3 linked regions of the Nothobranchius furzeri genome follow. The protein of the gene in region 3 binds, or shares a complex with, the protein of the main gene of each other region. Links are inferred from orthologs where the notes say so. Each region holds a gene or a part of one and is shown on either strand. Other genes may lie near its edges.

Region 1 (3,657 bases), on a different chromosome or scaffold from region 3:
GATTAGCACCTTGGCTCACCCAAACGCGGCGGCGTGAGAGCTACACGAGCTCAGCTGTGCTCAGACTCAGCCGTTTGAGATAAAAACAACGAGGGTGAGAAAGAGCGGGGAGATAAAGTGCTGTTGGACTGACCTCCGGCGCCATCTCCTCTATGAAGTGAATGGTGTAATCTATGTTGAAGCGGATCACTCGGCACAATGGAATCTGTGATGATGAAAGGAGCAGAGGACGAGGAGAAGAAAAGGACAGAGCGTCTCATTACCACAGCGACAGGCAGAGGTTACAGCTTCTCAAGGAAACTCATTAAAACCTCATTTTCTCTGCAGAAACCACGTGCATGTATGGAAACTATATGCTAAATTGTGTAAAAACATGTAAAACCTCTGATAATACCACAAACCCACCCTCCCATGGAGCGCGCGCCTCCCCACACACACGCACACACACACACACGAGCGCCCTGGAAATTAAGCAACTCAAATCTGGCTAAAAGGATAAGCCGGCTCGTCTGTGTTTAATCTCCCCGGTTACACGGTCTTTGTTGTCGGAGCACAGGGGTTCATTCGGAGAGATTAACCTGGAGCAACGCTCCTTCCTGCCCATCTCAGCGGCTAACTAGCAGGGAGCTAATATGGCCATGCTCTCAGGTTTCTAATCCCCGTTCTGTCGCCAAACGATTGCCCCGGCTTGTAAAAAGCACCGTGGAAATTATCTGGTGTAAATCAGGCCTGATCCGCCGGGCTGCAGCGCAGATATTGATCACATTATTTAAACGGACTGGAGCACGAATCACCGCAGGTTGGGAACGTTTTCTCCAACCTGGCAAACCCCCGTCGGGTTTTCGTCTGGCTTCCTGTTAAATCGCAACCTCTTCAATGGCTGACGGACACCGAGGCCAGCCCTGTGAGAGGGAAGCACTTTGTCCAAACTACAAAGGAGTCGACCCGAAGCCGAGGGATGATTTGAAGTTGTGTTTTAGGAAAAAGGAGGTTTTCACTTAAACTCCAGCAGGAAGGACGAACATTAGCAGGCTGAGGCGTGGAGGAGGACGCCCGCCTGTGATGGTGGGTGAGAACCTGCCTGAGCAGCTGGTGGACACTTGGGCCGAGATAACAAGGCTGATGGTGGATCAGAGCATCTGTCAGGCTGATTCACACCAAGCAAGACATTATTATGCTAAAACAAGAGAAGACGAAGCATACTTTACATCGAAGGCGGTCGGCAGGTCACGCCCACTGTGACGAACCTTCGGACCGTTGGAGCGGCTAAAAAAGGACCAAAAACATAAAATCCTAACGATGGAAATCCCATAAATCACAGCTACTATAGTCAGCTGTTTCTGAACAAAGTCAAAACTACACTGAGGAGTGTTTGAAGGTCTGGTTTCCATAGAAACCGTGTAATCCTTGTTCATTTAGATATGTGATCGGCCACTCTGGCCGGGCCTTCCCACATCCGTGAAGTGAGGTACGCAGCAACCAGCCGCCGTAGTAGCAGAAGAGTGCAAGCAGCGCATTTGTTTAACGTTCCAGAAGCGTAGGGACGCGTCACTTCTGCTAAATTCACGACTCGAGTCTATTTTTTTACACGCCACGCTCAGCAGGTTAGACCGGGCCAGACAGGAAGTCAAACACTAAAGCAGTGGGAACATCTGGTGACTTTCAGATTTAAAGTCACGTGCACATTTCCAGGTCTGTACCAGTAAAAAACAATGGCGCTGACTGTGAAACCTCCGTAGCCGAAGTAAATAGGACAGAAAACAAACCAGACGCGTAGGAAGATGCTGCCATCGTTCAGACTAAAAGAACGCAGAAAGGAAACAGACGGGAAAACGAGGCACGATTCCTCCACGTCACAGCGGTAATTTGCATTCATGACCACGCCCACCTCGGCTTGGGACCGCCCACAGGAAGGAGAGAGCAGAGCGCGTCTCGGTTAGTGAAAGCTAGCCATTAGCATTAGCAACCTCACACAGTGGCAAACATGTTGACGCTTGTTTGTGGAGAGAAAAAAAAAGGAAGAGCGGAGGAAGCAGAAAATAGCTCACAAGGCATTCACTCATTCATTCTATAAACCAGACTAATCTACAGGAAATAAGCATGAATGAGAGCTTTAAGACCCTCGTGCAAGTTCTGGAGGGAACGGCGTTCCAACTTTCAGACTCACGCTAGTGAGGGGCGTGTGAGAGAAGAGAGAGAAGCCTTCAAACAGGTACTCGTGGTCGTCGTACTCGATCACCGTCGGCCGGTCCGTCTGGAAGTCAATTACAGAAAGACTCGCGTCACAAACACAGAAAAACAGCCAAACCACTCGTTTCGGTTGAGAACGGCGTCCTACCAGGAAGTTGGTGGGAGGAGACACGGTGATTCTGTAGTGGAACAGTTTCCCAGCGTTGTTGTTCATCGGACGGCACTGCCTCACGGGCTGGGGACAAAACACCAGAAAGATCCCTCATCAGTTACTGGACCCAGTAAAACCAACTAAAGAGGAAAACATGAATGTTTCTGAGGATTGTGAATGGATGAGTGGATTAAATCATGAATGTTTGTTTACTGGACATAAAACCTCAAAGTCGTTCATAAAAATGTTCTCAGTCATAAGGACACGAGTCTATTTATTAAGATATAACACCGTTTAGCTCATGACGGTGAGTTAACGGGGTGTGTGTGTGTGTGTGTGTGTGTGTGTGTGTGTGTGGGGCGTCCTTGGCCCGCCGCGGCTCAGCCTGAAGGTTATGAACGGAGGTGATTTATTCACGCCGTGTCCCACCTCCTCTCCTGGGTAGATGCTGTGGCGGATCCCGGTGCGTCTGGCCTTGGCGCTGCACTTACACAGGGGGCCATCATTCATCTGGACAGAAAGAAAATGCGTGAATCGGACAGCGCCGCTTCACCTGCCAGGTGTAACACAAAGGCCGAGGAACGCTTCACATGTCTGGACTGCAGCACGGCGACCTTTACGTCTCTTCTGCACTTTGAAGTTGGGAGTTTGAAGTTTCCCTGGCAGGTTCTGCCTTTGTTAGGAACCTCAAACAACCCAAGTTTATAGGAGAAAACCACCTTTTATCCACTCAGGCTTTAAATATTCTGAATTTAACGTGACAAACCTAATTTGGCTCCTAAATTAAATAAATCCAGACGATAAATTCAGCCCAAAACTCGGAAACTCTCCACTGAGAGCGACAGAACCCTTTGAAGGGATGGTCCTCCATAAAACTAGGTCCTAGGGTCGGGCTTATCGTCTGACCTCACGTCTGTGAGCCCAGCAGGCTTCAGGGGAGGCAAACATCCCATCAGAGCTTCGAGGACAAACATTAGGCTCTCACGCCTTCGCAGAGACTAAATTCAAGCCTCATCAAGGATTTCAAGCACCCATTCTGAACTTTTCACCACTTCATCACAAAAGCAGCGGTTGTTGAAGTAGGTGCGAAGAGTTCAGAGGTGAAGTTTGTTCTTCACACTGTTGCTAAAGTTAAACCAAGCACCTTTTAACCTCCCTGTTTCATAAAACTAAATATTATTGTGACAAAAGGGTCGATGCTACATCTCAGCACCATTACTGCACTATTTCTGCTGTTGCAAACGATGAAAACATGAATATTATTTGAGGTCGACTGTTAATGCTGAAGGTGTTGTGCCTAAAACGGTTTCCACGAC
Region 2 (2,577 bases), on a different chromosome or scaffold from region 3:
TACACATAAGAGCCTTTTGCTGGCTAATAGACCCATTCTTTCCAAATGGAAGGACTCTCACTCTCCAGCCACTGGGTCGCAGAGATGATGTTCCATATCCACCTGGAGAAAATCAGGAACACTTTATGGGACACATTGAACAAATTTTATTGTTTCTTTTATTTCTTTCATGAGATTGTAATAGCATTTAGATTTAGTGTCACTTTGTCACCTGTTTTGTTTGTTTTCTGTTTTAAAGGTTCATCCAGTGTAGCCAGGTGGGTGGTGAGGTTGTTTTATGTGGTTCGTTCTAATTAAATATGTTGTAAAAAATAACCTTGTTAAAAAAACGGAAACAAGAAGTCTTAATCATCTCTTTAAAGGAAATTTTTTTTAATTTTGTCCTTTCCTGAGAGTATAAACCAGCAGCATCAGTGGTAAAACTCCTCTTGTGCTAGTTTCAGAGGAAAGGGCAGGGAAAGCAGATTCCATAAAAACATTATTCAAGAAATTTTAAGATTTTTTGAAGAGAGTGGAAATGCAAAAAAAAAGATTGAAAAGCAAATAAACTAGAAAACAACAAACCAACTAATTGAAAATGACTGTTAATGTGAATCTTTATTAATAAGTCAAACATATAAAATACAACCCCCCCCCCCCCATTTAAAAAGCACTACTTTAACTACCACTCCCAATCACCAGCTTCACTTCCCCGCCTGCTGAGCCTGACGACGCAGCAGCACATAGATCTTCTCTTTGATCCAGTCCTTGTTGTACGGCTGGTACGTCTGCGTGTCGGCGCGATACCTGAGGAACCAACGTGGGTGCTTATTACAGCTCTTCATAAAGGCTGAATAACACTTTGTTTTAATCAAACTCACACCAAACAGCTGAGGTCAGCCAGGTCATCGATGAAGTCAAACAGCTGGCTGATGTCGTACGTTATCGACGGACTGTTGGGGTTCATTCTCTTTAAATGCTCCTCATACATCTTACACACACCTGTACAGGAGACACAAAACACAACTACTAATGGAAGTCAAAAAAACTAAAGGTTTGTTGGTCTTCAGTGAGTGTATCGCTTTCCAGTTTTCACCTGTTTGTGTAACCTGTCTGAATTACTTCTGATGAGTTTCTGGACTTTGGTTCTTTTAAACCCTTTTGAACTGGAAAGAGCCTGTTTGAACAGTTTACCAGCTTGGACTTTTATCATGAACAGATTTTAGCAGTGGCTCAAAAGGAAAGAGCATTTGGCCACTGATGGGAAGGAGAGCGGTTTGATCACCGGCCCCAGCTAGCAACACGTCCAGGTATCCTGGGACAAGAACCCTGAAAGTGGATCTGTAGGTACATAGAGTCATGTGTTGCTGTACATTACTGTGTAAAGGTTTTAAGCAGGTGTGGAAAAATGCTGTGAACAGAGGACAATTTCAAAAATGGAAGTGTTAATCAGTAGTTTTAATCTATCAAAAAAACAGTGAATGAACAAAAGATGAACCTAAATCAAATCAATAGTTGGTGAGACCACCCATTGAATTCAAAACAGCATCAGAACTTCTAGCTACACTGGTAGGTTTATCCAAACACCAAGAGCCTATTTCATCATGGTGGCAAGTCAAGGTAATAACGCCGCCACAATGTGTCTTTTGAAAGTACTGTGGTGGCTCCATTGTTTTATGAAAGATGCTTTGGAGAACTAAACACAGATCTTCTGAACCAGCTCAGTGGCGTAGTGGTAGAGTCTGGGACGTAATTTTGGGGGGGGACGGGTGGGACATGTCCCCCCCACTTTTTCAAAAGGCAGTTTTGGTCCCCTGCACTTTTTTCCGTCCAAAAACAATGTTACGCTCCATTAAATGGATTTGGTTGAGCACTAGGACCGAAACGGAAACCGGTTTCCTATTAGACCCGCCCAAAAGCTAATCTATTGGCTCTGCTGATACTTGCTAACGTATTATTGGCTGTTGCTGCTGTCACTCAAGTTGTAAACAGTCAGAACGTGCTCACGTTGTTTTGCTAGTTTGGAGCCGCTAGGGAACACCGGTACTGAGTCACATCGTCAACTAGACGCTGTGTAATATCAGAGCTCAGCTCAGCTTCCATTACATAACATTTGAATAAGTGTTCATTTGTGAGTCTTTGGTAGTTAGGCACAGCCAGGAGGCAGCATGTCAAGAAAACGAAAAGTGGATATAAGAGACTTCTTTCAAAGTCAAAACGTAAGTTGGAACATGTGACAGACCTGCATTAAGCTCAGACTCACCTCCTCCTTCACACACATACTCAAAACTAACTTTTACAAACTCATCTCCTCCACATAACTGACTCCTCAGACACAATTTGTTCGTATTATTATAATTATTTTTTCATTATTATTACTATTATCATCATAATTATTATTAACTAGTAGTAGTAGAAGTGTAACTTCAAAACTTTTATCATTTAACTTTATTGTAAACTTATCTATTGCAATGTATATTTTCACATTAAAAAGCTCTGAAAAATGAACAGTATCATCATTGTCAACAGATTTTTTTAAGCTTAATGTCAAAGATGTACACTTTTCATTAGATTTATCTTATTTTTTCCATTTATTTT
Region 3 (3,018 bases):
TATACAGCAAGAATGATGGCAAACACAAGAAACCACGATCCATAGACGACTCGTAAAATTCTGCACATGCTGCTTACTACTCTACTCGTGACACTGAACAGGCCTTAAATATATTTACCTGACTGTTAAATGCTTCATCATGTGAATGGGCCTTGGTCTCCCACTTCCTGCTGAAGGTTATTCTAGGTCCGATGTAACATTTAGCACTTGAGCCCTTCATGAAATGGATCAACTAAGGCAACATGTAGCCAACTTCATTTACCTTTTTAAAAGAAGGGCATCAGAAATGAAATGTCTAAAGCAACCGGTGCATGGCAGTAGGGTAGGAGTAAAGGACTCGGGCTCTGGACTGGGTTTACAGCAGAGCCAGGATGGGGTGAAGAACCAAAGCAAAACAAAGCGTCCACCCAAGTCTCAGAAGCAGTCAGACCAACAACAAGAACATCACACACACACACGCACACACACCAATAGTTCTGAACAGTGATCACTTCACAACGCATGTTCTTGTCATGCAAAGCAAGACGACAACTTCTCATTGATAAAACGGAACAATTGCATTCCTCACCCAAAATATCCAGAAACTACGATTAAAACACTAAATAAACCAGAAAGTTTGATTTCCAATCATTTGAATGGTAAAAGTACAAATATTAGTAGTCCCTTTCAAACACTTCAAGCACTGAAACCATGAGATTGTGACTAGAAAACACTGACCGAGAAACCAATGAGCACAGAGGTTTTTATGGATTAAACACGTATGCATGCTGTAATCTGATGTGGTTCATATTTTAATCAATAAAGTTTCAGTGCCGTAGAAAGCTGCAACTAGAGAGGTATTTAGTCGGGGGTCTGTAAGTGCATTTAGTCCTACCATTATAACAATCTGCTCAGTCACGAGAGGGTGTGTGTGTGAGGGAAGCCAGCTGGTCAAACGTGGGACTACACCGTCCTTTTGTCTCAGAGATGCATACTTTCGTCGTGGGGGTGACCTTTGACAGTGACCGGCTTTCAGTGCGGTGGTTCATCAGTGATTTATGAGAATTAAACATCAACAGTGCAGAGAGGCTCACTCCCCGGCTGGGCAGACTCCATTATGGTCATCTTGGGTTTCTTTCTCGTCTCCTCCTGATGTGAAAACAGTCAAGTACAAAGTTCATGAGCAATGCGTTTAGAAAGACCGGACTTCATGGAAAACAACTACAGAAGGTTTGCACCAGGAATCGTTTCTGTAAAATCACACAAAACAACTGGACTCCACTCCTCCAGACTGGGGTTCTCACTTGAAAAACAGAAATCAGCCTCAGGAATGGGCAGTCCGCACTCCCAGACTCAATCATTTAAACATAATTTAACCTTTAGTTACTGATGTTACAACCCCGGCACTGGTGCATCGTGTGGAGAGGAGGGGGTAACAAAACTTGACAGGTGGAAAATCTATAAATGTTTTTTTTTTTAAAGGGCCAAAAACGGAAAAACACAGGGAGGACGTTACCGAAACAAAAACGCCTATATTCTAACGAAAGGAACAAGTTATTTAACGGATTGGAATGAAATGAAATGCAGGGATTTCACCTTCTCAAAACAAGCTACAATTAAATAAGGAATTATCCTTTTTATGCAAAATTTAATCTAAATGAAAACAGTCCAGTTATCTACCAAAGTAACTCAAATCCTCAGAGGGACAAACGAGAACACAAAGATTAAATTCAAAGGACCATCTTCACAACTAAATTTACTCTCCCAAAACCGGGCGGGCGTTTAACAGATTCAAAAGGGCAACGTCAAAGATCTTCTAATGATCGTTCCCAGTTAACCCAGTTAACATTACTCACAAAACATTCGTAACTCTAAACTCTGTTTTTAAATTACCACCAACCACTGAGGTCTCCAACTACCGCGGAGCAAAAACCAAGTGTTGTCATCCTGGTTTGCCTCCTCGACTGGTTGAGATCACTGCCTTTTGTCTCCCGGGCAACTAATCAACGGTAATGTTGCCCAGCTGAGCTCATCAGATGCCGGCAGGAGCGCCGGTCTGGACCAACCGGGAGGCCAGAAGCGTCAGGGCTGGAACTGCAGGGAGAGGTTTGGGCGGTGTCCATAATGGACATGTCCTAAAACAATAGTGTCCAGCCCTGGTCCCTGAAAGCCCCCATCCATCCATCATAAGGAGGAAGAGATATTTTAAAAACCACGAGGTGCTTCACAAGAACAATAACTGAACAAACAAAATTTAAAAAGTATAAAATTGGGAAAAGTAAAAATTTTATATCAGGGAGGAGTAATATCCAACACGTTTTAGTTCTTTCACTGCTTCAACACGCTCAGTATCAATTAGGTGATTAACAGGCTTCTGTAGAGCTAGATAACATGTTGAACAGGTGAATCAACCACTGAATTAAATGTGTTGAAGTGAAACAACAAAAACATGCTGGATACCAGCCCTCCAACACCAGGACTGGGCATCCCTGTTGTAGTTTCTCTGCTTCAACACACCTGGTTTTAAAACGGGCCGCTGCAGAACTCCTGCTGAATCAGGAGTAGGAACTAAAACGAGCTAACGCTAACGTGTGTCTGGCTCTGTTCTTACCCTCTGAGCTGCCAGCTTTTGCATCTCCTCTTGCAGTTTGTTCAAGATGTGAAGGTTTGGCTTGTTCTTTTTGGCATACTGCTGAAGCTCAATCACACTCTTGTCGGAGCTCTCCTGAGGAAAGCACAAGTTCATTTAATTCATTTCTGGTAAATTTCTACCTTCCAGCTCAGGAGGACCCTCACCTTCTTGACCATCTTGTTGCTTTCTCTGCCGTACATTCGTAGCAATGAGCCCCAGTTCTTAACATGAGGGTGCAGCATCTGCAAGATCTTTTGAGAGGCTAGCTGTTTGCCAACCCTTTTGTTCTTACCTAGCGACAAAAAACGACAAATGCACAAAACCCGTTTATGAAAACTACACCGGGATGCTGCGAAATCCTACCTAAACACAGATATAACTAGAACAGACAGCATTTGTGAATGTTA

Evidence for each region. The genes of interacting proteins can lie anywhere in the genome.
Region 1: the proteins of dgcr8 (region 3) and drosha are in contact, whole or in part, in a crystal structure (PDB 5B16), measured with the Homo sapiens proteins. The link is inferred for Nothobranchius furzeri from reciprocal best matches to the Homo sapiens genes DGCR8 and DROSHA. Residues at the interface, in NP_073557.3 of Homo sapiens: Asn728, Ile731, Leu732, Lys734, Leu735, Gln736, Glu738, Met739, Lys740, Leu742, Ala743, Arg746, Arg750; in NP_001369437.1 of Homo sapiens: Leu984, Leu987, Phe988, Thr998, Tyr999, Thr1001, Ala1002, Ile1003, Gln1005, His1008, Phe1069, Asp1073, Leu1074, Glu1076, Val1077, Trp1078, Asn1080, Pro1082.
Region 2: the proteins of dgcr8 (region 3) and enhancer of rudimentary homolog are in contact, whole or in part, in a crystal structure (PDB 7CNC), measured with the Homo sapiens proteins. The link is inferred for Nothobranchius furzeri from reciprocal best matches to the Homo sapiens genes DGCR8 and ERH. Residues at the interface, in NP_073557.3 of Homo sapiens: Lys107, Phe108, Ser109, Pro110, Asp111, Leu112, Leu114, Leu115; in NP_004441.1 of Homo sapiens: Val8, Pro10, Thr11, Thr18, Tyr19, Ala20, Glu27, Lys34, Met35, His39, Arg42, Met43, Phe60, Leu64.

Annotation. Positions count from the first base shown.
Region 1 is NC_091747.1:62,198,159-62,201,815, forward strand, and holds part of drosha (ribonuclease 3), read right to left. Parts: intron 2,852-3,657; coding exon 2,771-2,851; intron 2,426-2,770; coding exon 2,339-2,425; intron 2,255-2,338; coding exon 2,168-2,254; intron 206-2,167; coding exon 134-205; intron 1-133. UniProt on the Homo sapiens protein: Ribonuclease III double-stranded (ds) RNA-specific endoribonuclease that is involved in the initial step of microRNA (miRNA) biogenesis.
Region 2 is NC_091758.1:16,832,217-16,834,793, reverse strand, and holds the end of enhancer of rudimentary homolog, read right to left. Parts: intron 982-2,577; coding exon 861-981; intron 787-860; coding exon 684-786; 3' UTR 592-683; downstream 1-591. UniProt on the Homo sapiens protein: May have a role in the cell cycle.
Region 3 is NC_091757.1:31,769,322-31,772,339, reverse strand, and holds the end of dgcr8 (microprocessor complex subunit DGCR8), read right to left. Parts: intron 2,904-3,018; coding exon 2,776-2,903; intron 2,705-2,775; coding exon 2,591-2,704; intron 1,129-2,590; coding exon 1,045-1,128; 3' UTR 504-1,044; downstream 1-503.